Tamandua tetradactyla: one gene and its partner. The protein of the gene in region 2 purifies or fractionates together with the protein of the main gene of each other region. This does not show direct contact. Links are inferred from orthologs where the notes say so. Each region holds a gene or a part of one and is shown on either strand. Other genes may lie near its edges. The genes, in order: DYRK1A and FNTB.

What was found.
Region 1: the proteins of FNTB (region 2) and DYRK1A purify together in Homo sapiens (affinity purification with mass spectrometry; 3 studies listed by BioGRID, counting the BioPlex papers as one). This does not show direct contact. The link is inferred for Tamandua tetradactyla from reciprocal best matches to the Homo sapiens genes FNTB and DYRK1A.

What each region holds. Positions count from the first base shown.
Region 1 is NC_135336.1:104,630,932-104,647,829, forward strand, and holds the start of DYRK1A (dual specificity tyrosine-phosphorylation-regulated kinase 1A), read right to left. Parts: upstream 8,090-16,898; 5' UTR 7,979-8,089; intron 1-7,978. UniProt on the Homo sapiens protein: Dual-specificity kinase which possesses both serine/threonine and tyrosine kinase activities. Exhibits a substrate preference for proline at position P+1 and arginine at position P-3.
Region 2 is NC_135338.1:22,227,198-22,243,176, reverse strand, and holds the start of FNTB (protein farnesyltransferase subunit beta), read right to left. Parts: upstream 8,851-15,979; 5' UTR 8,749-8,850; coding exon 8,605-8,748; intron 1-8,604. UniProt on the Homo sapiens protein: Essential subunit of the farnesyltransferase complex. Catalyzes the transfer of a farnesyl moiety from farnesyl diphosphate to a cysteine at the fourth position from the C-terminus of several proteins having the C-terminal sequence Cys-aliphatic-aliphatic-X.

The DNA of each region.
Region 1 (16,898 bases), on a different chromosome or scaffold from region 2:
ACCAACCATGCCTACATACTGAAAATCAAAACATAAATGAGGCCATACTAAATATACACATACACAATGCACACACAGTATGTGGCAATATATATTCAAGTGTTTTCAAAGTTTTGCAACACAACATACACACACATAATATATAGCACGCATATATAAACTTGTGTATACAGAAAATTTCTGGTAGGAAAAACTATGAACAGTTATTGCCTAAGGAGTATGGGAAGGGGTGGTAAATATGACACACTTCTACAGGGTTTCATTTTTTAAAACCATTAGTATATATTACTTTTTAATTTTTCCAAACTAAAATTTCCAACGTGATCAGAACTGTACCTTACTTATAGTGTACCTGATATGTTGTAAGACAGCTCAAGTAAGAAACCTAAATAGGCGATAAAACACTAAGAAAAAAAGGACATGCCTTTTAATCCCATGCCTACCTCCAGATAAGGAAGTTAATCAAGCCCAGTCAGTCTTTGGCAGAATCATCCAGAGTCCCACAGTCAACACTCCCTTACTGGCCAGAGGCCTTCAGGAGGTATTCTAATGCTCCCAACTTCTGGCCGCCAAGAAGCCTGACATGAACCTTGCCATGGCCAGCCTATGCACTGTCATTTCTCAAGCCTGTCCTTCATGGTCCTCAGGCAAGGTTATATGTGCCCAACTCTGCCCTCTTCTTTCCAAAAAGCTTTCTCTTATTAGTGCAGGTGGTAATCTCTGACCTTCAGGAATATTTCCATTTTAAATTAGAGAGTTGAGATCTTACCTTAATCCAAAGAAATAAATTCCAACAGTGAGAAATGCAATCAAGAGGATAAAAAGGAAAATAATTTGGGGATAAAACCTTCCTTTGTTTCTTCTAATTATGCCACATGAGCATCTATCCTAATGCTACAGACACAGTGCCCACTACTCTCGAGACACTAATACCACCTTACTGATTTAAACCTTCAACTTTTCACCTTTAAATAGTCATGTGACTCAGTCAGACTACATTTTTCTACAGAATAGCCATTGTTATTCACTATGTACCAAAAAGCTCACACATTAAAAAAAAGCAACATATCATGAAATGACAGATATTTCTATAAAATTCTAATGTACCTTCTACTTCTCATCCTCTCTTCCTGCTTCTATAGAAAGAGCAAAGAACCAGGAGTCAGAAAAACTATGCTAGTCCCAGGCTGCTTGTTCTGAGGCAGTGGCTAGTCACTTTGCTTCTCTGAGTCCATTTCCTTCTCTAAAATGAGAGAGATGAACTGTTTTAGTGTCTCAAAATGTTCTGACCAAATCAGAATTATTTGGGGTCCTTATTAGGAAAACAAATTTCAAAGCACTACCCTGAACCTATAGAAAAGTATCTGAGCTTGTGAATACCACAATTTTTCAAGTTCTCCAAAAGACTACTGAAGAACCACTCACTTCTCTGGTCCCTACCAGATCTAATAATAGTTTATAGTTCAAAGGAATCATATAGTTTCCCTTTTTCTCAAGGCCACAGAAGTTAAAGAGGAAGATACTGGTCACTAAATATATATATATACATTTTAAATTTATATATATATATATTTGGCATGCGCAGGCACCAGGAAGAGAACCTGGGTCTCCAGCATGGCAGGCGAGAACTCTGCCTGCTGAGCTACCCTGGCCCGCCCCTAAATATATTTTTAAACATCACTGCTATCATCCTTCTTGCAACATCCAGTGACTCAAACATTTACTAAAACTTTGACAAGATGCAAGTGTCATTCTAGTATTGTTTGCTGAGGATATGAGCAGGAATATGTGCAGTATGATCCAGGAGACTATTAAAACTAAATCCAAAAGCTTAAATTCCAAATATTGTTTACATACACATAATCATAGCAATCAAGAATAATGTTTCCATCAGAAAACAAAGTGTCAGAAAATAATGTGCCACTGGACACAAAATCCCTTCACTTCTAAAAGTATAGCCACATTTTCTTTTAATCTGATTACATATATGTATATATTGATAACTGATGATTCACTTGAATTTGTATATCACAGCTCAAATGACCATATACAGAAAACAAAGCACTAATTAGTGCAATAAATTGTCTTTTTGTAGTTTATTTCTGTAATTGTTTCTTCTAAAACCTTCAAAGGGTGGCAAGCAATGATCAAGTGTCCTCCATTCTCTTTTTCTTCAGTAGTAACAGAGATTTTCAGACAGACATTCCACCAAAGACCACATATCCAAACATCCTTTGCAGCTTATATAGCATGAAAGAATGAGAAAGTTATATGCTGAATCTTGAGTACCACTCCTTAGCTGTGTAATCTTGGGCAAAGCAGGTTCTCTGAGCCTCAGTGTCCTGTATATGCCATGCCTATATATGACCTATTCAGATCTGTGGAAAAGTGAAATGAGGTACTATAAATGAGGTCTCCGTAAAAGTGTAAAATGCCATATAAACATAAGGTGGTACTGTACAGTCATTTCAGTAGTGGGTTACCCAATAGGAAGCAAGCATTGCAGTGACTTGAAATGAGAATATACAATTGCAGTTTCAGCTCTAGAGTTGGTAGGTAGCTATTAAATTAATATTTATTACAAATTTTAACTTCCTATGTGCATTAATTAGATCAAATAGTGACTTAAACAAGAATTTATTCCTCTCTCATACCACATCAAAATAAGTTTAAACAGTCTAAGGTTTACATGGTGGCTCCATGTTATAAGGAACATTGGTTCCTTTTGTTTTGTTGCTTTCTAATGCTTAAGGAGCTACCATTTTCTACATAGTAATAGATAGCTCCCAACCACATCCACAATCCAGGAATGCAATGTGCAAAACGGGAGTGTGCAGGAGGTACATCCTCACCACTTTAAAATCTGGAGGCTGCAGTCATGAATTCTACTCTCACCCAAATAGTCAGGAACTTGGTCATGTGGCCACATTTATCTGCAAAACAGTCTTGGATATGTGGTCTTTGGTAGGATGTCTATTTGTCTACACACACACACACACACACACACACACCCCTGCTATATGGCAGGCACTGGAATTACAGCCATGATCAAGAAAGACATTATTCTTGCCCTGATGAACCTCACAATCTAAGGGAAAGAAGAAAAGATATCATAATTAATACCTATTTGTGATAAAGGCTGTGAAAAACAGAAGGTCCTTAACAACGCATGGCCAAAAACCTTGCATAGTCTATGGATTTGGGGAAGGCCTCTCTGAAGAAGTGCTAATTATGCTGACACCAAAAGGATAAGCATGAATGAAGAGAAGGGAAGGGAGAAAGGGGGGGAGAGAGAGCTTCTAAGAAACTCACAGGCATTACCACCATCATCACAAAAACCTTACAGCCAGTACCATCAATCCCACTTTACAGATGAGGAAACTGATGCTTAATGAAATCACTGTGCCTGAAGTCACAAGCACCAGGGAGTGGCAGAAACTGTGAAAAGTCCAGGTCTGCGTGAGTCTGGATCATTTGCTCACCACCATCTCACAGGCCAACACTCTTTCCACAGTATCAGGCTGCCTCAACTGCTACCTACAACTAGACATCAGACTTTGGAAAGATGTCATGGTAAAGCATCTTTTTACTGAAATACATAACACAGAGATGTCAATCTTAACCACAAATGTCCATGAAATTTTAAAAATAATCAACCCTTATCACTGGAAATGACAAATACTTAGTAAAATTAAGGGGCTATTTAATATTAATACACATGGATGATATTTAAAATAGAATCAATGAGGAAAGCCATTTCATTCCATGTTAGCCAGTTCACTGAGCCCTCCAAAAATCTATTTAAATAATCATTCAATTACAGGGAGACAAAACTCAAAAACAATTCATCAATAAGAGTAAGGGTACATTTTAAACTATTACAACTGCACGTGTTCCCATACATACACACACACACACACACACACACACTCTCTCTCTCTCTCTCTCTCTCTCTCTCTCTCTCTCTCTCTCTCTCGTCAAAACTTCATTCTAACAGTAATATGAACTTTAAAAAATCACCTTCTAGAACAAAGGATACATAACTCTAGCACAAGAAACTAAAATTGTTCTAGACTATCATAAAAGTATGCTGATAAGGAAGCACATCATTTCAAATTTTCAATGTTATTTTCTCTAAGTTATCTTTCCAATAAAGATTTTTAACTAGTTACAGAACTTTAGAAGTAGAACTTCAAAATAAAAGCAAAAGCCTAACTTTTAAAAACCATTAGCTACTTTACAACAATATTCCCAAATCACTTAGTTTTCATATACCCAAAAATGAAACTAAGGCTACATGTAGCTACTAGAGTCAAAATAATTATTTTAGTCACATGAAGTGACACCATTTCACTTTCACGTACCCAATAGTAAAGTTTACAACTCTAGCTGAACATTACAGCACCGATATAAGGCAAGATTTCTAAAGAAGAATCCTACGTTTGGGGATGCCTGGAGAGAAATTTGAGATAATTTAATTTGATGGTTTTTCCAAGCAATTAAACACAAATTTTCACACACACCCAAAATTTTTAATCCAAAAACGTGCAAGCCCTGAGTTATGAATTACCACAATTTCTCTAAAAATCAAAAAATTGTTTAACTATCAAGATAACATATGGTAAAAAAAAAAAAGTCTTAAGAGGCATATTCACTTTGTACACAGAAGGTGCTATTATTCAAGTCATGCAATTCACTTTGTGAGGGCAAGTTGTGTCAGCATCAAGTTTCAGGTGACTATGTTTGAATTTTAATTTCTTTACTTCTTAATGGAAAATATACAAGTGCCTGTGGAGGTAAAAACATCAAAACACTCCTCAACGAAATTAACTCACAGTTTAAATTACCGATGAGTACAACAAAACTGTACAACTGGTAAAATGGGGGGGAGGGTGAAGAGCAGGTTCTTATAAAATCTCTTTCTGAAATTTTAAGGGTTTGCTGGTTTTGGATGGTTAGGGTTTTTTCCTAGGGGTAGGAGGGTTTTTAAAAAATATCTTTAGAAGAAATAGGAAAGCTCTTTGGGATAAGAGAAAAGCTAACACCAAAGCAAAGAAAAACTGATACACATCTTATCACATATATTGAGTCACAAATCTCTAAGCCTCCTCTTCTATTAATCTTAGGCAATTCCCTGCACACCCATAATAAAGTTATTTCTATCCAAATTTTCTTCCCATACCTATATACTTGCCAAACATAAACATGTGAAAACACCTCTGGGCAGTCTAAATTTCTAAGCTATTTCTTTAAAAAAAAAAAGGGTTTTCAAGTAATACCCAAAATTCAATGCAAATTAGCAATTTTTCTTTGTACAAGTACAAAATAAGCTATCTCGAATTTTGCTTTTGCAGTTAAATTATACAGACCACCTACGAAAAAACTAAGTAAATTTTGCAAATACTGGTTGTTACACTGACCACTACCCATCCCACGTGGTAGCTACAAATCATAAATAAATGCACTAACTATCCATAAGTAAATCTGAGGGACAGACATCAGACAATATTCTAGAGGGGAAAAAATTCTACCCAAGAATCTTTTTAACTATCCACATTTCCAAACAGGACATTGCAAATTAATAGATTTTTCCCACTTATTTTGAATGTTAGTGCCTCTTAACAGACTGCACTTTATTAATTTTTTAATTCCTAGGTCACAATAATTTTGTATGTTTACATTTCTAACAGGTCCCACCAAAAATTTTTTTAAATACATTTAAGAAACCATCTTATACCTAAATTTCAAATTCTTAATAAGATATCCTAAGATCCATTTCCCCTCTATCACTGGTTCTACCAATCAATGATGACCAGTCATCCATCCTACAACTCTATTCCTTCAAATCTAAACTCTTTTTTACATATCCACCAGGTGTTACAAACCCACCCTACAGACATGGATGAGACTAGAATTAATTTCTGGACTTATGTTTCTGTGAAATAAATGTGCGCTTTTACACCAGTTTTACACAGAACATGGTGTAGACATTCATAGCAGTTCTTCGTTTTCTGGGAAGGTTTGATGTCTAAACCATTTGGACAGCTACCATAAACACCACTGCTATTCCAAGGTAAATTCTCTAAGAATACTGGGGTAAGCCTAAGACATATGTACATTAAAAATCTTAACTATGACCAAGCAAACTTTTTTCTTAACTCCTGCTTCTCTGAAACTACCTTCTTGCGTTTTAAAACCTCAGCACATGGAATTTTAGTAGTTCCAGTCTCATGCTTATAATCTAATTTAAAATAATATTCTTTTAAAGTAAATGAACCATCAAGGTATAAGAAATCTAAGGAAACAAAAACTAAAGATAATTTTACTGAATTATTGAAATACTCCAAAATCAAAGAACTAAATATATTCATTTTTACTAACACTTGATATATGTAGAGTATAAAGTGTCATAGAGGAAATCTACATATTTAAAGATGAAATATGACTAAAAATAGCTACACAAAACTTTGAGTCATCAATACTTCAATGATGACTACAATTTGTATTGTCAAGAATACACACCAAAAAGTTTTCTTTCAATCCCTTCCATTCAAAAACTGACTACATGGTTTTCTTGCGGGGGGGGGGGGGGGGGGGGGGGGGGGGGAGTGGGGGAGGAGGTGGTGTGAGAGGGGAGCCTGACAAGTTTCATTAAGGAGGCCTCATCGCAACCCTTTCCTTCCACTTCCATAAACCAAAGTTAACTCTAAGCTGAACACTAGACTTAGACATGGACACAACCTCTAAGTTAGAACCCTGAGTCACTACACACAAACGGTTCCAAAATTCTCAAGTATTTATAATAACGAGTTTCATAAGGTAGTGGTTAAGGGCCCCAGCTCCTGCAGCCTCCCGGCTCTTCGTGTCCCCGCTGCCGTGTAACCTTGGAGGAGTCACTACCCGTCTCACGGCTCAAGGTCCTCATCTGTATAATGGGCAACCGTTCCTGCCAATGGGATCATTAATACACGTAAAGCGCCTGCCACTTCTTGGTCTTGAACTTTGGATACGTGTGAAAACCATGTGATAAAGTGTATTTTCTGATCCTTGGGCGAAATTAAGAACCAAGCCGTGCCGGTATTCGAGTGCCAGATTACAGGAGTCATATAATCTAGGGCTGGGTAAAAAACACAGATAAGTAGTCGGAGTCAAGCACTCACTAATTTTGCCATTTTTAACTACTGTCGAATAGGGAGGAGCGTCTTGCTAAGTGCTGAGGTATTCAGCAGCTTTGGTGAATACCAAGCGAGAGTGGATTTGGGTCTATAAATAGACTTGCGAAGTTTCGCCGTCTTAGCCAGGTATCAATTATAATTCACCCATCCCCAGTCACCAACTCCTCCAGCCGCTAAACAAGTCATTCCTTCCTCTCGAGTGGCCGGGATTATTACTTGCACTCCCCGCACAACTTCCGAGCAAGCCGAGCCCCCTCACTCGAGCTCAGACCCCCAAAGGGATGCCCCGGGATCCGGCTCCGACCTTCCCGGAGCCCAGCCTCGGCCCGGCCGCCCTCGTCTCAGCCCGCATTCGGCCCCATTTTCTTAACCGTGCATTGTCCTTGCCAAGAACCCCAGCGGTTCCCACACTGGTGGGGACCGAGAGGAGGGACGAGGGAGGAGCTGGGGGAAGAGGATGAGGAGGAAGAGGAGGAGGAGGAGGAAGACAACCTCCTCCCCTTCGCTCGGGCGGCCAGTGAAGGTCTGCGCTTTCTCTGGCCCCCAGGCCCCGGCTCCCCGGAGGCCGCGGCGCCCTCCTCCCGCCCTCCGCAACTTTCCCTCGGCTCGCACCCGCCTCTCCTCCGAGACCGGGCCTCTCGGCTCCCTCCCCCGGCGGCCGGGCCCGGGCCCGCGGCGCCGCTTCCTAAAATGGCAGGTCCCTCCCTCCACCCGGCCAACCTCGCTCGGCGCGGGCCCGGCTGCAGGCCGCGCAGGGAGCCGAGCGCCGGCCGGGCGGGGCCGCGGCCGGGCCGGACACTCACCGCGACGATGGCGGGGCGCTCGCGCCGCTCCCTCCGGTGAGTCTCAGCCTCGGGCTCCAGCCGCTTCGCTCCCGCCGCGGCCTCCGCCGCCAACGCCGCCCCGGCCGCTTCTCTCGGCCCCCGGCGCTCTCGGCTCCTCGCCCGCGCCGCAGCCTCCTCAGTCTCTCGCCGGCGCGCGGTTCCAGCGGCGCCCGGGGCCGGGGAGGCGACAGCCCCCTCCCGGCAAATACCGCAGTCCCCGGACCCCGGCTCCCGGGCGGCGGGGCCGCGCGGCCCGGCCCAGCGCTGAGGGCGGTGGCGATGAGGCCGGGCGCCCAGTCGCGGCCGCTCCCGGCTGCTTCTTCCCGAGGAGGATTTTGTAAATCTCACAAAATGGCGCGCGCTCCAAACCTGCGCAGCGAGAAGCGCCGGGGCCCGAGCGGCGGCGGCGGCGGCCGCGGCGGCTCCTCCGCCAGAAGAGCCCGAACCGCCCGCCCCCGAGTCCCGCACAGACAGACACACACACACACACACTCGCACACACACGCACGCACACTCGCCCTCGCACACGCTCGCTCGCACACACACTCTCACACTCACACCGGTCCCGCCCGCTCGCCGGCGGCGGCAGCGGCAGCGGCACCAACAGCAGCAGCAGGAACAGCAGCAGCAGAAGCGGCGGCGGCGGCACCCGCACCCCCCGCTCGGGGTGTCCGCTCCCTGCGCCCGACTTGGGCCGCGATCGGCAGCAGCAACAGCAGCAGTCTCCCCGGATCCCCCCGCCGCTGTTGCCGCCGCCACCCCCGCCTCACTCCAATGGGGCTTTTTATTATTATTCGGGCGGGAAGCGAAAGGGTTTAAAAAAAAACCAACCAACAAAATGGCGACGGACCGACCCGGTCGCTATAGCAACTGTCAATCAAAACGCAAAACCCCGGCTGACGTGCTGACGTCCTCCTCCCGCCCCCTGGCCCAAAACGGGCGGGCGGGGCCTGTTGCTCGGGTAACGGCAGATTCCGTTCCCTCCTTTCCCTCGCCCCCTCCATCCCGGACCAACCACCCAACCCCCTCAGGTCACGTGAAGGATAAATTCGGAGCTCGGGCCCGCTACGAGTGTCAGAGGAGGGCGCGTGATTCGCTCGCTCGGGGGAGGGGAGACCAGAGGAACGGACGGTCCAAGGGAGGGAAGGTGAGGGGGGAGCGAGGCAGAGGCCCGGCCTGTGCGCGAGCGCCCACTGCCTCCCTGGCCGCCCCGCCCTGCTCCCGCCGCGCCCGCGCCTACTGCGGCCCCAGGTGCGCGCGCGGCCTCCCGCTCGCGTCGCCACCGCCCCCGGAGCCCGGCGCTTCCGCATCGCGCGCCCGCAGCCCCGCCCGCGCGGGGCGGGGGAGGGGCGTGCGGGGGGCGGGGCTCTGCGGGCGCCCGGCGGGGCCCGGGAGCCCGCCGCTTCCCCCGGGCCGCACGCGCGGACGATGCACCCTCCCTGCTAGTCCGGGGTTCTTTCGGTGGCCTGGGCGCACACGTCCGTGGGTTGAAACTGTTCTTCGAAGGACTCACGTCTCCCCTTCGCCGGAAAATGCCCGCGGAGGCCGCGATGGGGCTGGGCATCTCCGGAATTCCGGCCGCTTCCCCGGAACCAGGGATGCCCCTACGGCTGGCACCTCAATTCAGTCCTACCGCTTGGTTTTTGTAGAAACTACTGCCACCGTCCAATAGTTACGAGTGCAGCCCCCCCATAAAAATTTGTTAAGGCTGTGCACCCTCCTTCATGGTTTCCCACCTGTTTCAAACCTTCCCGTACCCTCCCCACCTATCTGGGCACAGCCTTCCTTCTCATTCGGAATTCCCCTTAAATTAATCCTCTCGGGCTATTATTACTGTATCCTTGTCGTAAGTCCAACTCTCTGGTTTTCTTTTTGATGTATCTTCTCAGCTTCCGGGTTCTTGATTTGGCCACTTGTTCTGAACAATCAAAACTCTTTATTACTCTTCCAGCTTTCATTTAATTTTGTTCTGACTACTCTTTCTGTCTGGCTAAATGTTGCTGGGGGTGCTCCCCAAGCATTAAAACTGAGGCACGCTATGCTGGTTACTGTATTCCACAGCCACAGAGTGAAAACTGTAATCTGTACAAATCCAAATTAATAGTACCTACCTGTTAAATTTAAAAGCGTATATGTGTGTGGGTGGGTGTGTATATACTACACCAAAAGGCACTGATCTATTGATTTTTTTTTCTAAGCTTGGTTTCCCTATCTTTTAGTGCCCACAAGTACAGTATCAACAAATAGAATCTTATGAACAATTTTAGGTATAAGGAAAAACATTCTTATAATAAATATTGCTCCCTGTCCTATGTGACTCAAAGAAAGATGCTTGTTTTTAATGTTTTTCTACAAATGTTTCCTTTCTACAGTTAGGAGAATATTGATATACCGAGGCAATGGAACTACTCATCCAACTCCTTCCTCTGTCGGCATTCACCATGGTTTCACTTTTGTCAGAACACTCAAGCATTTACAATCTTTAACACTAAACTAAAGTCAAGTCAAGCTTTTATTGCTGTTTATGGAGGAAACCTGCATAATTAATTTTCTTGGTAACCCTGAAAGAATAGGCAAAGTCTCAGGCACTGTGTTCTTGTCTTTAGTCGAGGCAATCTAGAAGATTATCAGAGTGAGGCAGAATCTTGATTTTATAGACAAGCAGAAATAGAAGGTATTGCTGATCTTCATATCCAGAAGGCAACACCTTTTTCCCCCCAATATTGTGATCAACCTTACACAACATTGATTAACGAACTGTTGTGTCAGGTTGAATGCTGTAAAGTGGTTTTAAATAAGCTTTGCCTGTAAATTATAGCTGGCTCCAAACAGGTAAACACATGTAGACAGAAAGGACTCTGGCATAGATGCCAGTTTGGTGTTGATCAGGTTCGGTGATCAAATCCTTGCTGTCATCTGAGACTCCTAGACGGATCCACTTACCAGATGTGTCTTTTCGTAGAAGTTAACCAATAAAAACGAAGATCATAACCTAAAAAGCAAAGGTAATAAAAGCTTCTATTTACCGAGCACATTCTATGATATCTCTAATCCTCACAGCAAATTTTATCCCCATTTTATGGATGAGAAAACAAATCTGAGTAATGAAGTAACTTTCCTAGAGTCACAAACCAGTACATGATGAGGCCAGGATTCAAGCCCAGATGTAACTGCAAAGCTCAGGTTCTTTCCACTACACCAAGATGATTTCTGTTAAAATTCAAGTGCCAATATCTAAGAAATTCAGAATTTTTCTTCTGCCACTTCTTCTTATGTGTTTCCTATGATGTAAAGAGCTCTGGATATTTATTTCCTCAAGGTTGGAATTAGTGCCATCGCCACCTGACTCCAGATAAAAATACTAAATGGAATTGATACTTATTCCCAAGGAGTCTGTATGACAGCACAGAACAGTGACAACCTTATTAGAAATATGTGGAAAGAAAAACTTCACCTCTGCTGGTTGTTTGTTCAACTTTTCTCATCTCAGACTCGAACTGTTAATTGAGAAAAACTCACAGCAAACAAATCTGTTCTTAAGTTAATATGGTAGATTCATTCATTCATTCAGCAGTCATTTAATCATTTACTGAGTGCCTACCCAGGGTCTGGCGCTCACTGACCAGGTGCCCACCTTCCAGGGGTTGGCACTGTGCTAAGGAATACAGATAAAACTGAGATGCAGTGCCCATGTCACCAGATCGGCGCCAAGATGGTGGGTTCTTTTGGTTGGTCCACACACGATTGGGGACCACTTTTTGTGGCTCATGACACTGAGCTCAAAGGTTCAGTAATTGGACCCCTGCTAGGAGTTATGGCCTAAACTTTCCAAGAATAAGCAAGCTTACTAGTATTCCTAGCTCTGCTCCTCACACCAGGTGAGAAGGTGAAGGGCTCACAAGTCCTCCCTGGACAGCGGCATGGTCCAGAATCTGTCACCACTACTGTTTTTTGACCTCACAGTGAAGGTTCTTTATTGCTCCCTTTTTCCAAGCTTTAAGGTTTGTCCTGATTTGAAAAGTAGTGCATGTACATCAGATTAAAATGAAACAAAATAAATTAAAACACAAAGGGGGACCTCACTGATATGAAATAATTAGAATAAACAAACTCATAGAGTCAGAATCTAGAATATAGGTTACCAGGGCATGGGGTGGAATAAGGAGTTAATCCATTTCTATTTGGGTTGATCATAAAATTTTGGTACTGGAGAGTGGTGATGTTCACGCAACAACATGAATGTAATTAAGAACACAGAATTGTATATGTGAATGTGGTTAAAGGGATAAATTTTGAGCTGTATATATGTTACTAGAATAATAAAAAAAAAACCAAAGGACTATACAACACAAAACAGTGAACACTATTGTAAATGATTGACTATAGTTAATAGCACAATTATAAAAATGTTCTTTTATGAATTGTAACCAATGTCTCAGACTAATGCAAGGTGTTAATAATAAGGTGCTATATAAGAACTCTGTATTTTATGCATATTTTCTGGAGTAAACCTATAACTTCTCTAATGAAAAAGAGGGGGCCTGATATAAACTGACAACGGTTTCAGTGTGCTATGAACCAAGAAGTTAAATTTCAATTCACTACATCAGAAGTTCAAAAATATTAAAATAAAAGTAAAAATGCCACTACAGAAAGTTTTTTGTTTGTTTGTTTGTTTGTTTGCATGGGCAGGCACCAGATTCCCGGGTCTCCAGCATGGCAGTTGAGAATTCTGCCTGCTGAGCCACTGTGGACCAACCCAGAAAGTTTTACGATACAGAAAACAATATAGAAATAAAGATCACTCACAACCACCCCCCTCCTGCCTAGAGGTAAATCTTACTAATCTCTTCATGTTGGCCTATAACCTTCCAGGCATTTTTAGTGAAACACATGTGCATACACACACACAACATATATAGAACACGCACACGTGTTATGAACACTTTCTTATGTTGATTAAAATTTAGATAATTATTTTAACAACTGCATAGGGTTACATCTCTTGAATGAGCCATAGTTCATTTAACTGCCCCTCTATTTTTTTTGGGGGGGGGGGGAGGGTACATGGTCCGAGAATTGAACCTGGGTCTCCCGCATGGAAGGTGAGCATTCTACCACTGAACCACCCATGCACTCCCTACTCCTCTATTTTTAGGAAACTTTTTCACTACAATTAAAACTGCGCGAACATTATATATTAACATTTTGCACACCTGTCCAGTTGCTTCCTTACGAAATGAAAAGCTCTTGATTCATGTTGCCAAAATGTCCCTCAGAAATGATTTCACCAATTGCGCTGGAAAAAGTATCATGCAAGCATGACTTTTACCCATACTCTCTTGTATCAATTTACATGTCTTTGACCATTTGATGATTTGTTAAATATGTGTACTGGCTGTCTGTGCGCTGCCTGTCTATATCCTTTGCCCATTTGGAGGGTGAGAGAGATCATCTTTTTATTGATTTCTCCTTGGCAATTTTACTGGAATAAAAGAAAGAAAGAAAAGGAAATTGGAAGGCCATTTGCTGTCGTTAGGCTAGCTCATGTGTTTGGACACCGCTCATCCACCATCGCAGCCGCTCCAGCTCTGGCCCTGTGTAGTGTCAGGCTTCCTCCTGGCTCCTAGTATCATCAGGTTTGCATCCCCCACCACCTCTTCACCAGACACAAGGATCAAGAGCTCCAGAGCTCCCCGGACCCATTCTACCAGCATCCTAAGGTTGCTTGAAAGGTTATTTTCTGCCAAGATGTGGTTCTAATGGTGCCATTAAAAAAAAAAAAAAAAAGAGCAATACTCATTGCCTTCCAACTAGGTAAGAATGTTTACTAACATTATTCCATGAATTATCATTAACATTTTCTTTTCCCATGACAGTAAGATAAAGGTTAAATAGAAAATAAGAAATTGTTAGATTAAAATGCATATTCCACACTATTTGGGAATATCTTAAACCTGTTGCAACATTTTGGCAAGACTTGAAAAGGAAGTCTCTTTTATATTTTGATTCATCCATGTAAAATGGCTAATGACCTAATGAAACTATGAAAAATAATTAAATACATGGATTTAAAAATTAGGTGGGAGGCACAGTAGTCTACGAAAGTAACTTCTTTCAATGGGGTATTAGCTCAATAGTTCTTAAGCATTTTGGCTTATTTCCTAGGCTTTTAAATCTAGGTATGTAGTAGACATCATTTAATATTCCTAGAGTGCTTACTGGTATGACATTTAGTGCTGATGTCTTCAATATTTTTGTTTCAATTCAATACGAGAGATATGCATGTGGTTGAGACAGTGGTATCATCTGATTATATTGTTTTTGCACATTGGTTTCCAAACTAAGTGCTTCAAGGATAAGGTGACTATATTTTCATCTTTGGGTCACTAGCACAATATCTGGCATGCTGTAAATACTGTTTTGTTTTGTATTTTTAAATTAATATTGAGCTCCTGCTATTTTCTTCCTATTTTTCTCCATCCATCATGAGGCCAACGGTCATAAAACTTTAGGGGGAACTCTCCAGTGATTTGTACAGAAGCGGGAAATGATCTCTTTGGGTCTGAAAGTAAATGGAATTTTCCTAGCTAGAGGAAAGATTGTTGCAGTCCGCAAAGCAGAAAGAAGATTCCACTGAAGAGATACAGTAATGTGAGCAACAACCATGTAGCTGGTTAGTGCAGCACAGCAGAATTTCTCAAACCAGTGTTCCTGTGCACCCCACAGCCCCCCATCTGGGGCGGGGGGAAACAGTTGATTTGGGTATTCTCTCATTGGACAGCGCAGGATCTCTGTGTGGCCAAGTCTGTTGACATCCCTCCAGCCTATTAGACCCATGCTATATCCCAAATGCAAAAATAATAGCTTCCAGCCTGCCTGTACTATCAGCAGCTCCAGGCAGGTCACCCACCAAAAAGCCCATACATGAAGTACAGCAACAAATCTGTCCAATCTCACATCTGGATTTACTTCCCGACTTTTAAAAGCAAAAAGTGTTTAACGTATATTAACATCATCATGTTAATATATGATATGTCCTATGTTATCATATTATATAATGTATCATTTATATAATAATATATATCATGAGGAGTACAAAGAATAAAACAAAAGGAGCCACTGATCTTGTTGTTATTGTTGTTGAAATAAAAACAATTTCAGAACATGGTTTGAAAATCCCAACAGAATAGAAAAAAATAAAAAACACAAGCCTCCCTGGCTCCTTCATCTTTCGTGCTCTTTCTAAAGCTGTATGGGAATCTGTGTAAAATCCCAATATCACATCACTACCTGCTGAAATTTTTGCAAGGTCTCCCCTAGTGTTTTTTGGAATGACATTCATTCTCATTAGTTCAGCTCCTCAGTCCCGTCATGATCTGACCTCCCAGCCTCTGCTGGGGCTTACCCACACGCCCTTCCCCATTTAAGCTCCCGGAACACAACTGGTTCTTTCTTGTTTGCTGTCCTCTCCCCTGGAAGGTCTCATTCCCTTCTCAAAGAACCCACTTACTCCCTGTATTTTCATTGTGAATGTTTTCCTCTTCCACTTGCCATAGAATAGGAAGTTCTTCCAGGGCAAAGACCTGTCTCTGTCACCGTTCTCTTTCATGCTCAGTGCTTAGCCCAATACCTGGTAAACACTGGGCACCAAATACATGTATTTGAAAGAACATAGTTACCAAGGAATTGCAAAAAAGCAAGAGCTGGATGCAGTGTACCAGCAGCTGAAACCAGGAAATGGTGAAAAGCCAGAGGATGCCCTACCTTCTAGGGTTGGGAGGAGGTGGTCATTTGTCCCTGACATGCCCTCCTGTACTGGATGAGACTTTCTGAAGGGGTGGGGGGTGTTAGTGGAAGGGCAGCAGAAGCGGGCAGCTTTGGCGAGTGGTGGAGATTTAGACTTAAATGGGGGTGTCTTTCAGGTGGCCGATGGCTCATTATCAGAGGGAGCTTCTGATTAGCTTTGGTTAGGTGGGGTAAGCGGAGGCAGGGAGCTGATTACCCGAGACAGGACCAGGCCCTTTCTGCGCCCAAAAGAGAATCTTGACATTTTCTTCTTGATCGTCTAGCCCAAAAGTGCTGAGTTGGAGGCAAGGACTCGGGGTGGATGCCATAAACAAGAATAAAGATTCTGCATTCGGGGTATGGACAGATGAGTAAAAAAATAATGATAAGGATAAAATAAATAAATAAATAATGGGGGGGGATAAAGGGTAAAAAAAACTGGGTAGATTGTAACACTTGTGGTCAATGAGAGGGAGGTATAAGGGATATGGGATGTACGAGTTCTTTTCTTTTTATTTCTTTTTCCGAAGTGATGCAAATGTTCTAAAAATGATCATGGTGATGAATACACAACTATGTGAAGATATTGTGAGCCATTGATTGTATCTTATGTATGGGCTATATGTGTGTGAAGATTTCGCAATAAAAATATTTAAAAAAAAAAAAAAAAAGATTCTGCGTTCGGCTGGAGCACTTTCTGGGCTGTGTGCTTTGCAACAGGACAGATGGAGTTCAGGGACGAAGCTCTGTGTTCCAGAGCGCTGAGCTGGCAGAGTGGGAGGCAAATATGAGACAGAAGGCTAATAGGGAAGTAAATTAATTTGAGGGGTCTCAGACCACCAAAGAAAGGAGTGCTGTCCTGAGAGGAAGGTGCCCGAGACACCTTAGAATCATAAGATATTAGGTGGAAGATGCCCCACCTTACCTGTCAAAACTCTAATCATGAAGTCTCTGCCATGGGAAGAAAAGAGATGGAATTTCCAGTTTGAAGAGTCTATTTGGTAACTATACAGTGACAATTTGTTCACATTAGTCACTGAAGATGTTTTCATTTTCTTGAGATGAAGTAGGGTATAGATAATGTCCTGTGAATCTGCCTTTTCTGGAAGGG
Region 2 (15,979 bases):
ACCATGTTTTTAAGATTCATCCATATCGTAGTATGTTTCATAATTTCATTCCTTTTTTGCTGAGTAGTATTCCATTTACAGATCTACTATATTTTCTTTATCCATTCACCTGTTGATTGATGTACACTTGGGTTGTTTCCTCTTCTGTGAATAATGTGGCTATGTACTTGGTTCACAGGTATCTGTTGGAGACCATTTTCACTTTCTTTGGATATATACCTAGAAGCTGAATTGCAGGGTCATATGGTAATTCTACATTTAACTTTTTGAGGAACCACCAAACTGTTTTCCACTAGCAAGGTGCCAGAGTTCCAATTTCTCACACTCTCACTAACACTCATTATTTAAATAACACTTGTTTATTTTTAATTGTTTTTATTTAACAATATTTATTTGTTGTTATTTAAACACTTGTCTTTTGAATAATAGCCTAACTTAGCCGGTGAACTGGTATCTTACTGTGGTTTTTGTTTACATTTCCCTAGCGGCTAAAGATGTTGAACACCTTTTCCTGTGCTTATTGGTCTTTTGTATATCTCTTTAGAGAAATGTTTATTCAAATTCTTAACCCATTTCTAAATTAGGTAGCCTTTTTGTTGTTTGGTATTTCAAGAGTATTTTATATATTCTGGATATTAAACCCTCATCAGATAAAGGATTTCTAAATAATTTTTCCCATTCTGTAGGTTGTCTTGATAATGGCCTTTGATACAGAGAAGATTTTAATTCAACAAATTCCAATTTATCTATTTTTTTGTTTCATTGCTCATGCTTTTGTTATAATTTTAAAAAATCCACAGCCAAATACAAGGTCCTGAAGATTTTCCCCTAAGTTTCAACTCTTCTATTTAGACCATTGATCAATTTTGAGTTGATTTTTTTATATGGTGAAGTAGAGGCCCAATTTCATTACTTTGCATGTGAACAGTCAGATTTCTGCTATTTCAAAGAGACTATGCTTTCCCAATTGACTAGATTTGGCACCCTTGTTAAAAATCTATTAGCCATGCCCAACCTCTCCAGAACATCACCTAGTCCCATCTCCCCACACCATGTTATTGACAGCACCTTCCAATATGAAAAAGTTAGAATGGCCATAGCCCAAATACCCCTAAACAGTAGGATAGAAAGATCAAAGGTGATGGTGGAGTTATACAGAGAAGGCAGGGTTTAATAAACAAATATGATTGCTGAATCATTAAACTGACATTTCTTTTAGTCTCTAGTACCTTAGAGCAGCTAGAAACAAAAACCTAAAATTGTGGAATTGTAATCCATACCAAACTCTAAAATCTGTTCTACAACTATTATTGTGCTGTTTTGAAATTTATTGCTTTTTTGTATATATGTTATTTTTCACAAAAAAGAAAAAAAAAAGTCAACTGCAATGATAAAAAAATATTTATTCCTTCTAGCCTCCTATATTCCGGAGCAGCTAAAAGGAAAAATCTGAAGTGATGGTATGGTGGCCCATGACAATCTCTGGGATCTGTCCTGTAACTACTTGTTGAAGAGTGCTTTGAAAACTGTTGCTTTTTTTTCTTTCTTTGTTTAGTATATATACTATATATATATTCAATTTTAAGAGTTAAAAAAAAACCAATTGGCCATGGACTTGAGGGTTTATTTCTTAATTCTCAATTATATTCTGTTGATCTATGTCTGTCCTGGTGTCAGTACCACGCTGTTTTGATTACTACAGCTTTGCAGTAAGTTTTAAAATGGAAAAATGTGAGTCCTCCAACTTTGTTCTTTTTCAAGATGGTTTTGGCTACTTGGGGCCTTCTGCAATTCCTAATGAATTTGATGATTGGCTTTTCCATTTCTGTAAATAAGATTACTGGAATTTTGATCAGCATCACACTGAATCTGTAGATTGCTTTGGGTAGTGTTCACGTTTGCTAGCTGCAGGAATGCAATATACCAGAAATGAATGGCTTTTAAAAAGGGGAATTTAATAAGTTGTTAGTGTACAGTTCTAAGGCTGAGAAAATGTCCCAATTAAACTAATATAGAAATGTCCAATAAAAGGCATCCAGGGAAAGATACGTTGGTTCAAGAAGGCCAATGAGGTTCAGGGTTCCTCTTTCACGTTAGAAGGCACATGGCAAACACAGTTAGGGCTTCTCTCTTGGCTGGAAGGGCACATGGTGAACACAGTGTCATCTGCTCGTTTTCTATCCTGGCTTCCGATTTCATGAAGCTCCCAGAAGGGGTTTTCCTTCTTCATCTCCAAAGGTCACTGGCTAGTGGACTCTCTGCTTCGTGATGCTGCAGCATTCTCTGCTCTCTCTGAATCTCCATTCTCCAAAATGTTTCCTCTTTTATAGGACTCCAGAAACTTATCAAGACCTACCCAAATGGGTGGAGACATGTCATCACCTAATCCAGTTTAACAACCACTCTTGATTAAATCACATCTCTAGGGAGATGATTTGATTAGTTTCAAACATACTGTATTGAATAGGGATTATTCCGCCTTTATGAAATGGTATTTAGGTTAAAACATGGCTTTTCTAGGGGACATACACCTTTTCAAACCAGCACAGGTAGTACTGACATCTCAACAATATTAAGTCTTCTAATACATGACTATGGAATGTCTTTCCATTTACTTAGATCTTCTTTAATTTCTTTCAGTAATGTTTTATAATTTCCAGTGTATAAGCCTTTCACATCCTTGGTTAAATCTATTCCTAGATATTTTAATTATTTAGATGTTATTGTAAAATGAACTGCTTTCTTTGCAGATTGTTCATTGCTGGTGTACAGAAACACAATGATTATTATGTGTTGATCTTGTGCCCCATGACTTGTCTCATAAAGTCATCTCCACTGTGACAAAATTAGTTTTACCTTCATCCACAATTTTTACAAGAAAAGTAAATTTTTGCTTTCTGACTTTTCTTCTGAATTGGTCACAGTATCTGTCTGGTTCTCTCATATAAATAAAATAAAATTTTTAACACGTTTAATTTTATATCTGTATGAGAGTCATGGTTTTACATTTTCGTGAAAATTACCTTTTAAAAGTAGATACATATGGTATATGATTTGCGAATATAACTCAATAAAACTGCTTTTAAAAAAGTAATTATATAGCAGGCGGGCCATGGTGGCTCAACAGGCAGAGTTCTGCCTGCCATGCCAGAAACCCAGGTTCGATTCCCAGTGCTTGCCTATGTTAAAAAAAAAAAAAAAAGAAAAAGTAATTATATAGGATGAATGAGATGTGCATACATTAATTTGGATATAAAAAATATTGTGTTAAAAAAGCAAGATAACAGAGTATGATGCAATTTGTGTAAACTCTTAAACACACCTTACACAAAGAGTAAGTAGAAGGATACACACTGAACTCATGAACTCATGACAGAGGTTGCCTCTGGATAGGGTGAGAAGCTGACTGAACTGAGGATAGAGGTTAAATGAGACTTTGGCTATATTGTAATTGTTTTTCTTTAAATAAATAACCAGAAGCAAAAAAATTAAAATGTTAACAACTGTTAATTCTAGGTTATAGATGAAAATAGCTGTTATGTTATTCTTTTGTATATATAAATACATATCAGTGTGTGTATATATGGTTTATATATAATATGAACTAATATACATACAGTTTGTCTTTTTCAAAAGATGGAGAGATTGTGCTTGACTCTAAGAGTCAGAGATTAAGTGATTTCAACCAAGTCACTAAGATTTGAGGCCAGTGGTTATAAAGAAAGATCTAACCATCTGTCTACATTCTCTACAGCTCTATTTAAAAGATATCTCATGGAGTTTTTCTAGAAAACCAATCAGTAGAAGCACAGAATAATTTCCATTCCCAGATGAGTGTTAAAAACAAATTAATGCATATGGTACTTTCTCTTTCACAGCTTCTATCTAAAACCAATCTCATGGAGCACCAACTTTCATCTCATGGACTATTACCACCCTCTTTTCTACATCTCCCCCTCTCTTCCCGAGGAGGGTCCTTCCAGAAAGCAGATTTGCTGTCTGAGACTTATGCTAATGCGTAAGCTTCAATAAAAGAATTACTAATATATTAAATATGAGGCAAGGATTTTTCATAAAAAAAAAAAGATCTCTCAGAAAAGAAAAGTCACTTTACAATCACTTTCTTACACAGTTCCTCTTACAGTTGGGAGTTCTTTCAATTACTTTATTTTGAATACAAAGTACCAGTTGGAGGTGACGCGTTAACCTAAAACAACTATAGTCAAGGGCTGGTTTTGGCTGCTTATAGAAGGAAAGCTGAAGGTATCAGCAAAAAAGGAGGCCAAATTACACATAGATTTAGCAAGTATTCCTGGGGATATAAACTCAGTTCCAAGTGTGGGAAGTCAATATAAACCAACTTTTAAAGATAACTTTAAAAAGTAACAGATTAAGTGGTTAACTTGTGGCGATCACACCAACTGGACACATTACAAAAAATACTAATGTTATACAAATGGATACTTGTAGCTAGGGATTTAATATTCAATGACAGTATCTTACACACACTGGAAAAAGATGTATCTCAAAGAACTTAAAGCATGATTTGAAAACCATACTGGCTGACTCAAAAAGTGGCTCCAGTAATGACAGAAATATTTGTGTTATTTTACAAAGTCTGCGATTTTAAACAGACATATTACCTAAATTTAAAACATAAATTTTAAAGTAGACATTTAATTAGATTCACCTACACACATGTATTTTCAAGTGGCCCAGAAAACATTATTTGGACTTTTAAATTTTTATAATTTTTTTTATTTGATTTTTTTTTTTTACAGGGAAAGTAGGAGACTCCTTGATATTTGGAATTGCCTTATAGTTGGGCATATATAGTATACTGAATTTCAATAAGGAATAAAATAGAGTAAAAACAGATTCACATAACCTACTGACCACTCAGCCAAGCAGAGCTCTGGCCCCTTCTATCAGAAACCTTTAAAAAAAAAAACAAAAAAAAACCATGATCATATTTGGTTACTTGTTCCAACTCAATTTAATGGTTTTCAGAAACTATAACTAGAAACATCAGCAGAATCTAGAATTCCTTCCTAGAACCCCGGGCTGTGACCTCTTTCAGGATCTGCAGTGGCTTCCTGCCCATCACTCTAAGTTAGTACTTCAGCCTGGCCGCAATCTGGACCTACCCACAGAGCTGACCTAATTTCCTACCACATTCAATGTGCACCCTCCATTCCCTATAAGCCTTTTCTTCATTTGTCTGCAACCAAGCCTGGGTCTTCTCTCCTAATGACCCCTCCCAGTGGAATGGAGGTCCAAACTCCATTTATAGCCCAACTCTAATTCCAAATTCTCCATGAAGTGGTCCTAACTGCTTCAGCCCAGACAGATGGCTCTTTCACTCCCTGAAAACCTACAGCAATACAGTTATAAATTTAGCACATAATCACATGCTGTCATAATAATCCTGTGATTGCTTCAGACAAATTCTTTTATTCTAAGAGAACACAATTTTAAGGGCAAGGACCAAGACTGATAATTCTTCCTTATTTCCCCTCAGAGTTGACTGTCACTTGATTAAATATAGTATAAGGACAACCTGCTATTTGAAATGAGGGATGCTTTTGCCCCTGTCTAAGGGCAAAGTAAAGGAAAAACAGGAGTAGTATCTTCCATAAACAACTGTTTTTTGCAAGGCTGCTCCTCTGCAACTATTAACCTACTGGCCTGAATCACACAGCCTTTACACTGGGATGATTCCAGATGGCACAATAAGAAAAGGAGCCTCTGATGACACAATACATACTGTGCACACACATTTTCCCCCCTTTTTCTCCAGGCCTAGAACAAGTTTCATAAAGGCATCAACTTGGCATCTTTTGTTCACTGCCTTAGCGCCTGGCACATAGAAGGCACTCAAGCATATGTTAATGAAATATTAATAAATGAAAATGAATGAATGGAACAGAACAACCCATAGAAAAGGGCTCTTTTCTCACCATTTAAGGTTTAACTTCCATTATCAGATTATTATTTAACAAACAAATAAAGTCTCCTGAGAATCAGATAGGAGGCAGGTGAGTAAGCTCTTGTTCTTATTGACTATGGCACCAAATTGAGTTCTGTCAGTAAATCTCTGTGAATAAATGGAAGCTTCGATCAGAACCCAAAGCAGTGGTATCCTTTGGAATGAACTTCTCCTAGGAAGGTTAATATGTCTGATGAATACACCATTATTAACCTACCAACCCAACACTTCTCTAAGCCTCAGCTGCCTTATTTGTAAAATGACTGAATGCTGGGACCCAATAAAAGTCATCATGATGATTATCAAAACATTGAGGCAGCTGTGAGACACATACCACATTACCTTCCTACTGTCTTGAACCACTTATCCTTGGTTTTTAAAATGTGAGCTGAAGTAATGACATGGAAAAGAAATTCAAGATGCTCTATGATCTACCATATAGCTGGGTCCAGATTTGACAGACGCCCTATAACATCAGTGTTCCACATTAAAACTTTACCTCCAGTCTTGGCCCTGTCACTGGCCCACCCTCTTGCAGAGCAGAACCTTCTTGTATCCATTTTTGCATCACTCATAGCGCCTAGGTACTTAGAACATAAGTACTGTTGTTTTCCTGGTAGGAACTCTGCAGGGCAATTGTTTTAGTTTACTAAGGCTGCCAGAATGCAATACACCAGAGATGGACTGGCTTTTATAAAAGGGATTTATTTGGTTATAAGTTTTCTAATTTGGTAAGACACATGGAGACATCTGCTGGGCTTCTCTCCTGGCTTCAAAATGGCTTTCTCCAGGGTGATTCCTTTCTGCATCTCCAAATGTCTGGGTCTGAGCTGGCTCTGGGTTCTGAGCTGTGTTGAGCTGAGCTGTGCTGAGCTCTCTTCTGACCTCTCTCTCTTAAGCCTCCAGCTAATTAAATTAAACATCACTCATCGAAGAAGGCACTCCCCCTAGCTGACTGAAGATGTAATCAGCCATAGATGAATGTTACATGCTGATGATTTAAGTCCACAGCAAGAGAACCCGGGACTATCATCTGGCTAAGTTGACACCTCAACCTAACTATAACACACTCGAATGAAAAAAGTAGTAAAAGAAAAAGAGAAAAAGCTCCCCATAATATTCCTGTTTTCCACTTGCCTCTCTAACCTGGAAGTCCCTGTTCAGGTCTCTAAAAGTAACAGACCAACTTCTGAATCCCTTTTCCACCAGCAACCTATCCATACTCTAATCTACTGGGTAAATTCAGTTAACTATATAAAAGGTGACCTCACAGTCCAAGGTCAGATACACAAAAAAGGGTTTGGCCTGACTCAACAATCCATCATTTAGAAATATCACAAACATCAAGTAGAATTCTCATTGATGGGAGATTTCTTTGCAATCTTCTGCAAATGACTTCTGTAGAAGGAAGCAATAATGGGTTAACTAACCAGGGGACCTTGATTCAAAAGGTAAGGGTTTCCTTTTCTACCCTACACTTCACGAAGCTTAAATCTCCAGTTCCATTATTTTCTCTGCTACTATGTGCATAACCTTGTACTTAGGCCCTCATTTTTTGTTAATTTATAGTCATAGTTATAAATACACAATATAATAATTATAATTATTGCCATTAATTTTGCCTAAATAGAGGCTTCCAACTTCAGGTATGAAAAACAAGGCAGGTCCCACCAAGGTTAAGCCCAGAAACTGATCTTACTAGGAGATCTTATTAGCAAGCAGCCTAATGTGAGTGCTAAAAAATAAACACCCTGACTGACCACTTCTCCAGGCAACAGATAGGTAAGCATTTCCACAATAACTAACTCGGAAAAATTCCAATTGGGGAATGAAAAGAAAAAACTATAGCTCACTACTCATTTCCTAAACACTCTTTTCAAAGTGATAGGTTCAGTTCTACCTCTAGGCCTTAGCGAATGACAAGTAGTCCAAAATTCATACTTTTATTGTAACACTTTCCAAATTGTATTGTTTTTCTTTCTGGCCTCTCCAACTACACAGTACGCTGCTCCTGGACAGGGGGTACGATTATTTATCTTTGGATTTACAGCTTTTAACATTGTGTCCAATACACAGCTGGTGCTCAAATGACTGAACGACTAACATGATATTCACCTACCACGCAAGCCCCAAATATGGTATTGCAGGTCAAAAATTAAACAGGTTATGGACCGACATGAGTGCAGTCTGGCCAAGTCTTTCTGCTCTATGTACTGAGACTGAACAGGCTGAGGGAAGTGCACCCTTCATCCGAGAACCTCCCGCTGCCACTGCTGAATGGACTAGGCTCTCCGACCCGCCCGGGCTGCTTCAGCCCTCCAGTCACAGAACAAGAGTCCCTCCGCTTCCTAAGGCAGACGGGACGCAGGTACTGCCCTCTTCTCCAGGCCCAACCCTAGCAGTGACCCTCTCCCACCCGGCCCCATGAAAGCTCGGCTCGGAAGCCCAAACCTGGGCGCCTACAGCGTCCCCGCGGGGAGGCGCCCTGGTGCACTGTGGGAGTCGTAGTTCCCGGCGAGTTCCGCGGACACGGTGGGTTCCCACGGCGCCCGGCTGACCGACTCCCGCGCCCAGCAGTCCCCGCGCGGGCGTCTCGCCCCGTCCCGCCACCTCACCTGTTCTATGGACGTGACTGTTTCCACCGAGTCGTCTTGCAACCGCTCCTGCGCGTGCTCCGGCCTCAAACTATACAGCGGCTCCGACCAGACGGGGGAGGAGGATGGCGGGCAATAGTAGGTAAAGGAACTCGGAGAAGCCATGATCAGGAGAACAGCGGGCGGTGTACAGGACTCAGCTTCCTCAAGCAACAACGCGCATTGAAACTCGAGCGGGTTAAGGCGGTACGGACACCGGGTAGAGTCAAAATATATAGGAACGCGAATCTCTCGCCTCCTCCCTACTTCGTTTCTGGGAGTGGGTCACTGGGATGCTGCCGCCCCCCACTGGGCAGAGGAACTGCTGCAAGAAGCGGTTGCCCGAAGTGTGGGAAGGATGTGTACATTTGACTTTCATTTCAGAAGGATGGCGTAGGATGATGCCTTGGTTCGTTAGGGAAATTAAAAACAAAAACTTCAACACCATGCCAGTTCTCAGTTGTAATGGCAGGAATTTGCACTTTCAGGTGCCCGAAAGCCAGTAAGTATAACTTTAAAGGTCCGACAGCAATTCCATCAGCCTTATGCTATTGCTAATAGAATTATTGTGCACCTTTGGGTATGTGACAGCCACCTGGGAGAAGGCAACTGCTTCTCAACAAATGTGTAGCATTGCTGTCTCACTACTCAGTGATGGAGGAACGGGGCATTGCCGTTTTCTCCTGTCCCCTCGGAGGTTACATTTGAAATAGCAGGAACTAAAATGCGGAAGGAACAAGTATCTGGGAAGCAACCAAGGAAGTATTCAGTCATTTATTAAGCAAATATTTATGAAGTATCTACCATACCTAGGAATGTAAAAGTTAACAAAACAAGATCCCTGCAGATTGGACAGAATTAAAAATGAACGAACACAGGAAATATATGAAGACTTGTGGTAAATGCTATGAAGGAAAATAACAGGATCGTCGAGGAAGACTAAGGGGCAAAGGGATGATGAATTCGTTTGGGTGGTCGGGCCAAGCTTCTCTGAGTCAGTGACTTTATCAAAGACAAAACTGCACAGGACAATGTTGAACAGGCAGGGTTGACTTTATTCAGAGGCTGCGATAGCAAGGGAGAGAGAGAGTAGCTCAACTCCGTTGAAACAAAGGACAGAAAGCTTTTTAAGGACTCATAGTGGGTTGGAGGGAAAGCAGTGGAGGATGATAAGCGCGGCAGATCACCGGGGAGGGTGAGTGATGAGGCGGCAAGTAGGAGCACTTGGCTCAGAATGTTTTCGTTTGAGGTAATTGGGCCACCTGGAGTCTGTAAAGGCCAGGAGAGAGGAGGAGGGAGATAAGGAACAGTACTCTGTAAGGAGCCTCGCTGGCGCCTGTGGAGGGAGAAAAGAGGGGCATTTTGGGGGCGTGTGATATTTAGAATAGTTAGCATCTGAATTGTCTTTCTTCCTTTTCTTTTTCACCCCGTGCAGTCTAAGTTGCTTTTATCTACAGCCCCCCCACCCCCCACCCCCCACCCCCCGTTGGGATATTGGTTTCCAGGGAGTCAGAACAGGGGAAGGAGCAAGCAGGAGCCTGCAAGGAATAAGACTGGCATTTGAACCACAGCAAGTTCAAGAGCTCATGCTGCAAATAAACATCTATGTTTGTATTCATTATAACTCTTATTGTGTGGATCAATCATTGTATATGCCTCCATAAAACCAATTTTAAAGTTGTAATATTAGGAAAACTCTGCTACTACCTCTGGACCCCCCCCCCCCCAAAAAAGGAAAAGAATCTCGTTCAGGGCCCACATCAAAAAGACTGTACCAAAATTAAAATACTAAGAGGGTGGGGGTTGTATAACAGACTTTCCAGATAGACTTGCTGACAAGATCTATTTCCTGCTCAGAGCATTTTACTCCCACTCAATTTCAAGTCACATATCTAGGATCCAGGGAACAGTGGTGTGATATTTCATAACCAACCGTTCCCCTGTTCTCAGTCTGCATTCAAATAGAAGCCCTCAGTAAGATTCCAGGGTTGCCGTTGCCAGTGAGATGGCATAAAAGCCGCAGACGGGAGAACAGTACCACCACGCCCCTCTTAATGGTACTATTGCAGTTAAAGACCTGTAGGCGCCAGGATGTTACCAAATCTGGGAATCTACGTGGAACTGTATGGGTTAGACTGGGATGTTGACATCGTATTGTCTTTCCCTTAGTTCTGTTTTGGAAAAAAAAAAAAAACTGCCTGATAAACACTGGGTCATATTTAAGGATTCAGCCTTCTTTGAAAAGACTTGCTTTGCTTAAGAGCTAGAAACTTAACATTTCAATCCCAAGAATTATGTTTTTGAAAAGAGTAGTTGGGAAGAGTTTTGTATCACAATTGTTACATCTGTATAAATGCACCTAAAGCAATTGCAAATTATATTCTAGAACTAGAACTCTGTTTCACAAATGTAGCCTCCTCTGCAGTGGGATCTGAAAGATGTTAATAGGGGTATGGCAAGAGTCTCCTGCAGGACAGTGTCTGTTCAGTCATTAAATATTTCAGTAACCCCCAGTTGCTGAGCACTGAGCTAGGTGCTGAGGAGACAGTGAACAAGCCAGACACATAGTCTGTGCCCTCATGAGTCTCATGATTTACCCAAAGAAACAGACATTAAACAATAATTATAGCATTGACTATTTCATTACAGTTGGGGAAAATGGCATGAGTGAGAAGCACAAGGTGTTGTGAGATTGCGTAACAGAGAAGACCTAAAGTAATCTAGTAATCAGGAAAGACTCCCAAAGGGAAAAGGGTTATCTGAGTGAGGGGACATTCCTGGCAGAGCAAACTCCAGTGAAAACCAAAAGTCGACTTTTGAAACAAGTCTTTTTAGAAACAAGAAATGGAAAATATAAGGTGTTTGTACTCTATGTAAACGTCGAGAAGATTAGCTTCTGACCAACAGTGATATGCCAGTTTCCCTTCCTCTGAGTTTAATAAAACTACTTGTTAAAGAAGCAGAATGAATATAAGTATTGGTACCACAGGGAATGATGTAGTTACAGGGGAACACCTTAATAACCAATAGCAACCCAGCTTGAACTGCAGATGGCTTGGATTTATTTTACTCAAATTCCTGATATTTTTCCTGAGTTAAATTGTAAATCTTACTTGTTTCTTTTTTTAAAAAAAATGCAGAGAGTGCTATTTGTCCTTCTATTAAAAGCAGAAAAACAAGAAAAAAAGAGTAATGGCTTAAATAAACCGCTAGAGGTCGCTCATAGGATAGGCTTTAAAGCTGCGTTACTCTCCCAAGCCTTCTGTCTGTATGATTTGTTTCTCTTCTTAATATCTTGTGAAACTTTGTAATAATACAACCTGGAAAGTTTGTAAAATAGAAAGAAACCACCTGTTATCCCAATAGGAAAGTATTTTCCTCCCCACATTTACTCCCCTAGTAGCATCTGTGCTGGATGGAATCCATCTGGATGGATGACTTCCCAAGCTCCTACCTAAGGCCAATTCCTACCCATCTCCTCAGACCTCACCCAAGGACTTTACTCCAACGACTCTCCTTTCTCTCTCCTAAACGTCAAGGTTTTCCTTTACTTGATCGTGCCCATCACCCTAAAACATGTTATTTGTCTATTCTTGAGGTGGGGGGTGGGGGGGTGGACATGTTTAACCCTCTCGGTTCTACTCTTCCTCCAGTTACCTCTCCATTTCTCATTTCCTTTTAGAGCAAAAATCCTTCAAATAATTACCCCTACCCAAATCTCCTATTCCTCTCCTCCAACTCATTCTTGAACATATTTCAACCTGGCTTCCAAATCAGCGCTTGTCAAGTCCCCAATTAAATGCCATATTGCTAAGTCCAATGGCAAATTCTCAGTTCTCATATCAAGGCCTCCTGTTTGACTTCCAAGCAACAGCTGACATGGTTGATCATTCCCTGCTCCTGAAAACATATTCTTGCCTCATAAAGGACACCACAGCCTCCTGGTTTTCCTTTTGCCTCATTGGCCTGTGTTACTTCATCATCTCCCTGACATCTTAACTTTGGGGTTGTCCCAGTTTCCAGTCCTTGGACCACTCCTGCGTCTACACTCACTCCCTTGTGAGATCATGCAGTCTCTCAATGTTTTCAACGCCACCATTAGGATGGAAACCCCCTGATTTATTTCTCCCACTGGATCTTGCTCCTGAACTCCAGAGTTCACATCTAATGCCTAACTAAAAGATAGCTAATAGGCATTTAACCCTTAACATCTCACAACAGAGTTGCTGGTCTTTTTTCCCCAAATCTGTGTACTCATCACGGTCCTTCCCGTCTCAGTTAATGGTAACTCCATCCTTCCTGCCCAAAGACTTTGGAGCTGTCCTTTCTACCTCTCTTTCACACCTCATAAATCCTGTTCAAAATATAAATCCAGAGTCTGAACATTTCCACTGCTAGTGTCCTGATCTAAACCATCATCATCTGTCACTTAAATTCTTACAAAAGTCTCTTAATTCTTTTCCCTGATTTCATTCTTATCCCTCTACAGCCTAACTCTAATGCAAAAGCCTTACAGAACCTTTAAAAATATAAGCAAAAAATCAACCCTTAGCTCAGAGCCCTTTCCTCCTCTCTTTCAGGAGTCTTCACCATGGCCTTCAAGACCCAAGAGACATCTCTGACCTCTTCTTTTACTCTCCTGCTTGTTCCCTCATCCAGCCATGCCGACCTCCTTGCTCATCTGTGTTTTTTCAGGCACACTCCAGCCTCACACCTTGTACCCTTGCTCTTCTGTCTCCTTGTAATGCCCCTTCCCCAGATGTAGGCATGGTCTGCTCCCCCACTTCTGATAGTCTTTACTCAAATTCTCAGCCTTTCCTGACTTCCCTATATAAAGCTGCCACACCCTCCCACTCTAGTAATACTCTATCCCTCTCTCCTTTTTAATTTTTCTCCACAGCACTTACCACCAGCTAATATAATTTATATTTTACATATGTTTTTGTTTACTGTCTGCTTTCCCCCCAACTAGGATGTAAACTCTACAAGGCAGGGATTTTTGTATCTTTTGCACATTGCTGTATTCGGTAGTACATGGTAGGCATTATATAAATGAGTTAAATGAATTGAATGATTTCCAGTTACCATAATAAACATTTGAGTGCTTGTTTGTTTAACATATTGTAGAAGATAATGGCAATGAACATAATAGTAGTCTTACCCTTCCAATAAATATTAAAATACAAAATATAAATAAATATATAAATGAAAATAAATATAGTTTAAAATAGAAAATAAATAAACATGGATAAATATAAAATAAGACATACACAAAATGCAATAGGAGAACTGGGGAAGGAGTAATTAATTCTAATCTATTTAAAGAGAGGGTCTTCTAACATATAACATTTGCGTTCAGTAATATTTTCAATAGAGTAAATAGTCCGTCCTGAAAACTTTAAATGATTACATTAGAATTTGGAAATTATGAATTCTTATTTCCTGTAGCACAGAAAAGGAAATGCAAAAATGTTTCCCATCACCCAAAAAGAACAGCTTTTGACTACAGTGATTTTATGGCACAGAGAACTATGAGCTTCGGGAAAAAAATCAATAAATCATCAATTCTACATGCTTGCATGATTTTGTGTCATACATTGATGTAAAATAAATCACATTCCATATTATTAATAATTACATACACTCTCACTGAAAACCTGTACAAAGTATTATGACCCTGAGTTCTGTTTGGAGTTTAGTATGGTGAAAACTATTTTACAGCAGAGACAAAATTGAAGCCAACTGGACACATCGTTCATACTGAAAAATCTGAGAAACGATTTTCAAGACTGTCAAAAGGCAACAGCAGAAGTATGGTCTCCAGTGCATACTGGAGACTCTCAGCCCTGGTTGTGCCCTGGAGTCAAGAAAGTGTTCAAAAATTAACTGTGGTGATGAATGCACAACTAGATGATGATACTGTGGACCACTGATTGTCCACTTTGGGTGATTATATACTTTGTGAATATATCTCAGTAGAATTGCATTTAAAACAAAAACAACCTTCTACTCTAGATCCTCTATTTCCTCTTTCCCCTCTGCCCACTAGATGCCAATGTCCATGGCAGCCCTCTAAATTCAAATTTTCCCAAACCTGCATACTCGTGGTCCTTCCCATCTCAGTTAATGGTAACTCCATGTGTTCCAAAAGTTACAAAAATCTCAGTTAACAGAGATCTTCAGTGTTTTACTCTCCTGGACAAATTGGCATAATCACTTTATAGATTCAAAATTATTTTCTGGGTAAATATTGTGACCTCTTTCAATAGTATATGTTAACACTCCTTTCAGACAGCCTTTCTGAAGTTTGCTAACTTATAGCCACAGGGTCAAATCTCCCCTCTCCTTTGAGTATCCTGAAGTGTCACCTTCCCGATGGGAGTGTCCTAGAGCCCCTCGTCCCCTACTGTCTATAAGGCAATCTTGGAGGGGCTCTAACATAGACATTCCGGTAAAAAAGGAAAAGTCCAAGATCCTGAGAGAACTGGGGTCTGGTGTTTTCCAATCCTTGGGGGCAGGCAATCAGTCCTTCCTAGAGCAATGTCTTACTTTTTAAATTCAATTGAATCCCACAATAGGAGCCCCTTGTTGAAGAGAGCAGAGCCTCCGCTGGCTGGGTACCTCAGTGACTTCAAGGGAACAAAGCCACTCCCACTTCCACCCCTTGCTGCCCATCAGACTTAGCATGAAAGGGAAGTAAATCTTAAAGGTGTGAGCCCCTGAGCTCTAGGAGTTTATCTGTTAGAGCAAGCCACATTGCCTTAACTAATACAATGATCCACTGCTGCAAACATAATTTTAACAGGAAAAGTTAATATGACATTTTGCACGGCTGTGGTTGCTAATCATATTTCCCAGCTCCAGTCTCATGAAGGGAGGGATCTCTGCTGAGGTTCACCCATCACAAAATCCTCCATAGTCACAGTCTAGACCTCCTATCCGGAAGCCTCAGGAAGGACACCACAACTTTCATTTCCTACTCCGATAGGATGAAAGAATTCCTTAAAAACAAACTGTGCACAGGAAAGCATATGTGATGAGGCGCCTAAATTTGGTCCTGAAGGTAGTGGCCAGGACACAAGGACAACTTGAAATGTACTGTGGATCATTTTGTATTAATATGACTTACAGTTAGGATAGTTTCCTTTGGAGTATTAAGATTCTTGACCCCAACGACTCTCTAACAATTTGCTCTGTCCCCTCTTTCCTTGTCAGTTCAGATTTCTTTTTCCATCATTCTCTACTATTCAGTGATAGAAAAGAAAAAGGATGTAAATGGAGGACAATACTGGGTATGGTGGTGTCTGTTCAGCTTCTCCTGATTCTGAGATAAGACAGAAGAAATCTTTCTGCAAGT